Arabidopsis thaliana: one gene and its partner. The protein of the gene in region 2 interacts with the protein of the main gene of each other region in a pairwise test. Each region holds a gene or a part of one and is shown on either strand. Other genes may lie near its edges.

What was found.
Region 1: the proteins of AT2G46735 (region 2) and AT2G22760 interact in a two-hybrid assay, tested with the Arabidopsis thaliana proteins (one large-scale study listed by BioGRID).

The regions. Positions count from the first base shown.
Region 1 is NC_003071.7:9,675,985-9,680,271, forward strand, and holds AT2G22760 (basic helix-loop-helix (bHLH) DNA-binding superfamily protein), read left to right. Parts: upstream 1-1,859; 5' UTR 1,860-2,027; coding exon 2,028-2,468; intron 2,469-2,606; coding exon 2,607-2,984; coding exon of another isoform or gene 2,985-3,020; exon of another isoform or gene 3,021-3,112; coding exon 3,113-3,181; 3' UTR 3,182-3,518; downstream 3,519-4,287.
Region 2 is NC_003071.7:19,202,271-19,205,636, reverse strand, and holds AT2G46735 (death domain associated protein), read right to left. Parts: upstream 1,453-3,366; 5' UTR 1,163-1,452; coding exon 680-1,162; 3' UTR 501-679; downstream 1-500. Other genes in the region: GulLO5 (D-arabinono-1,4-lactone oxidase family protein), read left to right, coding at 1-455.

The DNA of each region.
Region 1 (4,287 bases), 9.5 Mb from region 2:
TCGTCAGCTGGATTTATGATATTTCGGCGGCATATCCCGTCCCCACCGCACCACCAACCGGAAGGACCATGGCATGGATACACATTTGTCTCACTTTATATCATAAATAAAAAAATATTATATGTTATCCAGATTTCGTATCCAAAATTTTCTAACAAAATCTCCATTTTATAATTCTACTGACCTTTTTAAAAGGCACTGTTGTGACTTCATTTCAAGAGATACGTACCAAATCTTTATTATCAAATATATCGTGACGATAGACATGTACACACATATAATTGTAGTACGCATTACTACGGAAAGAATATTCCAAGAGCTTACCAATTCCATGCCGCATACATTGGCGTTTATCCTAAGTTAGACTTAGGATTCCTAACGTTCCGAATTTGCGTTGGAGAGCAAGTTCCTGATCTGCTTACGGAAAAATATATTCAAACTCAAATTGCGAATGCCGAGACCATTTCAATTTTTGGGTTTTTGTCGAAGGGATGATGAGCAAATTAAAGCTAGTCCACCTTTTTAATAAAATTGCTTGTGAAGAAGAAACAATTAGGTCCAATATTACTAGAGACAAAGGCAATTTATAATTTTAATATTTTTGGTACTGTTTAAAAAAAACTATCAGTACCAATTGAACAATTTCTAATTTTGATATTTATAATTTAGTTAAAAATATGTTTGTCATATTAATTCTTTTTTTGCTCATATTAATTCATTATCCAGTTTTTTAGTCATTACATTTTTATTTTTTTTTTGTTTAGTCATTACATTGAATTAGTCGAATCAGTACATAATCGTTTCATCAGAGAACTAGTGAATTAAACCGACCCAGACTAATTGGAAGCCTTAATTTTGGATCTTATATTGTAGGCATATTAACTTTTTAATTTTCTTACATAAATCCTTCATATGAAATGTTTGTTTTTAAATGGCCATGGCCCAGAACCATTGCATTTTTGGGCTGGATAGTGGATGTATATGTGAATTCGTCATCATACCAACCTGGTCTGGCCTCTTATTAGTGCAGTTAAGACTAAATAACCCGTTTGGTAGGGAGTAGGGACATTTATTATGTCTGGGGTCGTTATCGCCTTATCGGAATCAAATTGAGTTTAAAGACAAAACAGTATGATCGATTAATTATCAAACACAACTTGTTTATAAATGTATAGATGTCGACATCCACATGGTATCATAACTTCTTCTGCAACATATCCCTCGATATCATATCCACCATTAATCTAATTTATTGCAGTATAACGAGTCGAGATATGTTCATGAATTTTCAAACTCATTAAAAAATTGTTGTAATTTTTTGTTTCGTAAGTAAATTTTGTTTTTTTTCTCTTTCAATTTAACAATGTAATTTTCTGGATGAAAAATTTGCAAACGGTATAAAACTTAACATTTCATATGATTTTTTTTTGGATAAAATTACAATTAAAATAATAAATAAAAGATAATAAAGTATAACTTTTGTATATTTTCCTTTATAAAAAGTAATGAGGTTGTTAGATGGACGGGAAGACGGGGACGAGGCTTTACAGAGTTTTTCTATATCCTTGTTGTTTCCGAGTGGGAATAAGCTCAACACCAAAAACACGTGCTTATTTTATTTACACGTCTCTCTTCTCTTACTTTTTTTTTTTGGGTCCATAACACGTAGTTTTTTTTTTTTCAAATTCATAACACGTATATGAATCTCAGACCACTAGAAGCCAACAAATTATACGATCATTATAGACAATAATGAGAAGACTTCTAGTTTCGATCATAATATGTTTAGTTTATACATATACGTCACGTTTTATGCATTATATACACAATCTGGTCAACATAATTATGGAGTGGAGAAAATAATTTAAGCCGCGTCTCGTTGTCGAATATATAGTAAGAATACCTGAAAACACTTTCTATTCATAAACCCTTTACGACAAAACAATAAAGACGTCTCTCGATTTATCTTTGTCTTAATCAGGAAACTATTTGACATTTCTTTATCGATTATTACTTCATATTCGGGTATGGATGAAGATTTTTTCTTACCCGATTTCTCACTAGTAGACATTGATTTCGACTTTAATATTTACGAAGAAAATAATTTATCACCTGATGAATCTTTATCAAATTCACGAAGAGCTGATCAATCGTCAAAGTTTGATCATCAAATGCATTTTGAGTGCCTCAGAGAGAAGCCAAAGGCAGCGGTGAAGCCTATGATGAAGATCAACAACAAGCAACAACTGATTTCTTTTGATTTCTCTAGTAATGTTATTTCTTCTCCAGCCGCGGAGGAGATCATTATGGATAAATTGGTTGGTCGTGGAACCAAAAGAAAAACATGTTCTCATGGCACAAGATCTCCGGTTCTTGCGAAAGAACATGTTTTAGCCGAGAGAAAGCGCCGTGAGAAGCTTTCTGAAAAATTCATTGCTCTTTCAGCTCTCCTTCCCGGGCTTAAGAAGGTATTGCAAATTTAAATTGTAAATTATCGATAAATTTGTTATATATTTAACTATAGATATTTTCATAGTGAAGAAAAAATAATAATTCATCAGTGTCAATTGGTTTTGAGAATACAAAACTATCTTGTGGTTTTTTAGGCGGACAAGGTAACGATTCTTGATGACGCGATCTCGCGTATGAAACAACTCCAAGAACAACTAAGAACGCTCAAGGAAGAAAAAGAAGCAACGAGACAAATGGAATCCATGATTCTTGTAAAGAAATCTAAAGTGTTTTTCGACGAGGAACCTAACCTATCATGTTCTCCTTCAGTTCATATTGAATTCGATCAAGCATTACCAGAAATCGAAGCGAAAATTTCTCAAAATGACATTCTCATCCGAATCCTTTGCGAGAAAAGCAAAGGGTGCATGATCAACATACTAAACACAATTGAAAACTTTCAATTGCGCATTGAAAATAGCATCGTATTGCCATTCGGAGACTCGACTCTCGACATCACAGTCCTTGCACAGGTGATCATTAATAACTATATATATATGCAATACTAAAATGGATAACTCGTAGTTCATCCAATATAATATTGATGTATTAATGAAACTGATAATCTACAATTATGCTTTCTTAACTTTTTGTGTGGCAGATGGATAAAGATTTTTCGATGAGTATACTTAAGGATCTTGTACGGAACCTGAGACTCGCAATGGTTTAGGTCTTCTTTCAAGTTTTAGTAACCTGAGACTGTACATTGACACAATCGTTTCGTGGATTTGCTATCGTTTTCTTCTTGAGATTTTTTCACACGTGCCCACATGTTTGATGTGTTTTTTTAGCAAAGCTATTTCCGATAACGACCGTTGAGAATTAATTTAGATGTAACATTTTTTGTTTGTTAATAATGAATTTAAAATATAACAGAATTGTTTTTTTATTAAGTGGCAGAAATAAATGTGGCCTTATCCGCTGTCCAAAAAAAAAAAACAAATGTGGCCTTATCCTTAGCATGGTCGTAATGCCTTCTGACTTGTTAAAGTATTTTGTAATTATTGACAAACCCTCTTCAATTCTTAATGAAATTCACATTCATGTCAACAAGAAACATATTGTAGAAAGCAAACCTTTTAACCAATCAAAAAAAAAAAAAAAAAGGAAAAGAAGATTGCTTGACATTAAAAAGATATTGTAGAAAGCAAAATTACATCGAAGGTCAATGTTACAAAATTCTGAAATATTTACGAAAAAATAGTAGGGCATGAAAATGGATTAAAAGAATTAACTTAATTATCTATAGTTTTGCCCCAATAAAGATATACAATTATAGTTTTCGTAATTTATTTTGAAAGTTTCAGTAGTTAGCAAATTCAACAACTTAGCTACATTTGCTTTCGACAAAAAAAAAAGCTACATTTGCTCAAAAAAAAATGACGCTAAATTCAACCAAATTTATTACTATTTACCAATAACTATTTAGAAGTCATAGGGCAAGGGCAGTATCGGAGGGACGTGACCAAATAATAATTGCCGCACGACGCGGTACGATTAAAAGCCAATTCAAAACCTTTGAGTACCACCTAACAAAATCATTTCTTGGATACGTTTATACTCACCCCAAATCTGGGATACTAATCAATTATAAAGTTAAGATAAAGATTTTTAATAAAAATAATAATTCAGCGCATCGATTAAGAATAAAATTACAATAAATTAAGCTTATTAAAATTTCTTTCTTATTTCTTGATTTCCGATATAAATAGTCACACGATCAAGGGTCAGCTATAGCTTGATAACATTTAACTTTGTGATCTTCGGATTGACACA
Region 2 (3,366 bases):
GTTATGTCACATCCTCTCCGGCTTATCTTGGAAAAGAAACGGAAGCCATAGACTTTGATATAACATATTACCGAGCCAATGATCCGTTAACACCGCGACTCTATGAAGATTTTATCGAAGAAATCGAGCAAATTGCGTTGCTCAAGTATAATGCATTACCACATTGGGGTAAGAATAGAAACTTAGCGTTTGATGGAGTGATTAAAAAGTACAAGAATGCTCCAGCATTCTTGAAAGTAAAAGAGAGTTATGATCCGAATGGTTTATTCTCGAGCGAATGGACGGATCAGATCCTAGGGATCAAAGGAAACCCGACGATAGTAAAAGATGGATGTGCATTGGAGGGTTTGTGTATATGTTCAGATGATGCTCATTGTGCTCCGTCCAAAGGCTATTTGTGTCGACCAGGAAAAGTTTACAAAGAGGCTAGAGTCTGTACACATGTACCTAAGTAACGTTATTATTGCTCAATAATTATCTACATGCTAGTGTGTTGGTCTCTTACTAATGACAATAATCATTTACATGCTCGTCCGATATTTTCATAAATTTTACAGAGTACTCGTTAACACAATAACGATATTGGAAAATTTACATGTACAAATTAAAATTGGAAAATTTACAGAAAAATACTTTGTGGATTTAATATATGTGATGTGGCAAAGGAAAAAGGTCAAAGTCAAAGTTCCGTGTTTTGAAACTCTTTGAGAAGCTTCTCGAATTCCTCTAATCTGTGACCCCAATCACTCTTGATCCTTAACGGCGTCACGTTACTGTAATCAACACCGTTATCTCCAGTGGGCTCGCCCGCAGAGGATGATAGCTCCACACCGCTGAGCCGATTCTTCGTCTTCTTTTTACCGGCGTTTGTTCTCTTCCTCTGAGCCGTCGCTCTCTGAATCGCCCAGAGCACGTCTGATCCGCTAATCTCTGTCTCCTTCGGGATTGGTTTTCTTGGGTTCGAATCGACGGTGCGGAGGAGGATTTGTTGGCCTAATCCGCCGACGGATTCGGAAGTTTGTGATTTCGTCGGAACGTTAATGAATCGACGGTGGATTCCGTCGTAATTATGTGGTGGTGGCTGTGAATAGGCGACGGAAGTTGCTACGGTGGGTCTCATATGAAATTGAACCGGCATCGCCGCCGGTTTCACGGTCCACATAGTAACTCCGATTTGCTTGTGCGAATTTATCTCTCTCACTTTTTTCCGCGGTTGTGGTGAATCCAGCCCCACATATACTAGTCAGTGACATATTGGGCTTTTTGTATTAGCCCCATAAAATCTATCGGCCTTAAATAAAAGAAAATTCAGTTTTGTGCTCTGCTTTTTTGTGTTCGGTTTCTTTACTTGCTCTGTTTCGGGTGGTCTGTTTTATTTTCTATGTTCCTTGCTATGTTGTTGAAGTTCAAGATTTTTGAAAAGACCAGTCACAAAATCTTTGTCAGTCATTCATTGAATCATTAAAAAAAAAAAAAAACGTTTTAGCTCTTCTATGAATTGCATTGGTTTGATACTTCTGAAAGGAGAAGTAAATAAATATAAACATAGGAAGGGAGGAGCAACATCTCAACTATTTTTATTTTATAAGCCAATCAGAGCGTTCCATGTCATACCCCACTCTCACCTCTCGGGCGATTTCACACCCACTCTCACCAATCGCGTGATGAGCGCGTGTATACGTTTTCTGTGGGTTCTAACCCACCAAATGGCTTGTTTTGAAACACACTCGCTCCTTTCAAAAAAAGCCTCGAGTGCGTGATTTCAGTGTTTTTCTCCTTTAATTCCAATTCAAACCCAACCGAAATCAATTGAATTTTTCAAAACCATGTAAACCGAACCGAAATTAAAAACACAAACGACAAACTAGCAATTGTCGCTTCCACTATTGATCCAACTCCGACGAACCAGATTGATAATTTTGATTTGATTCCACACAGATAACATATAGTCCAAACCAAATGCAATTCATAAGAGAGCCAAATTATTACTCTATGTTCGAAGCTTTTTTAACTTGCCACAAATCAATTCACAAATGAATTTTGATTTCTCATGGAAGAAGAGAGAATGAGTGGTGATGTTAGGAGATTCAGGTGTTTATTTATAAGCATTAGGGTTTCTTAAAAAAAACAAAAAAAGGAAACTTTCGATTGTTTCCTTTTTTCTTCAACGCTTAGCTTCCTTTTCTTATTATGGTTGACCAAAATATAAGAAAATCTGTTTACTTTCAACTGTGAGATATCGGACGGTGATGATCTAATCCAAACGTTAAGTTTGTTAGATTATGTGGGACCGGGACGATCTATCTTATTATACACGTCTCTTTTACAAACAAAAGAAGAGATGAAGATGATGGTTCTGAACCAAACTGTTTATAAATGGAGATGATGATGTTAAATGGAACAAAAGCAGAAGTGATTGATGGTCTAACAGACATTGACATTAGGCTACCAATGCTAGTCTTTCTGTGGGAGATAGAGATAGAAGCGGCCTGGTTATGAGAATGCTGGATTTAATCAGCATTTTGGAGATGAATGATGAGTATCAGACACTTGTCAAGAAGAAGAGCTAACTTACAAGGTTCGATGTCATAAGTTTTAGTTGTCAAGAAGAAGAGCTTATCTGCATTTTACCATTCTTTCAGGTCGAAGATGTCCATCCCGTAAGCCCATCCGCAGGCTTTTGGATCAAAGTTGTCTAAAATGTGTTGATCACTGAAGTTTTAGTAAGTGTCCAAGCGATGGAAAGTGACACCGCAGGTCTCTACTGCACCATTCACTTTCCCTTTAAGATCTATGGACCACAGGGAAGTATCATGGCTAGAACTCATTCTTCCATATCTGTCCTCTGGTTTAAGACTCATCTCCCTTTTGACACCGTATCGATCCACAAGCGTTATCTTCCTCACTTTCTCGACACCATCCGCCATCAGAATTGTCCCCGGTAGTAGGCTGCCCATAAAGAACTCGAAAACATTACAAACTCCGACAACAATGTTGAAACATTGATGAACACTTACTTACCAGTTTATACTTGTTGAGATTGTATGGTGTGAGAGTTAGTGTCAAGAATCTGTTTTGGCTCGTTTTAGAAGAAGAACACAGCTGGAGAACAGGTGTTGCATCGGTTCATACCGAATCTCATAGCAGCTTGGTCCAAAAGAAGTGACAATGAACAACAAATCTCCATCATGTCTGAAAACAACTACGTCGCCGACTCGGCTGGTGGGGAGCTTTAGCCAGCCTTGGATGAGTCTTCGTCCCTCCATCTTCACTTCCCAGATTATATCAGAAGCGTTTGATCTCAGTTTCACCACCACATTGCTCTCATTTGTTGTTCCATCTATGTGCCTGAGAAGAAATCCATGG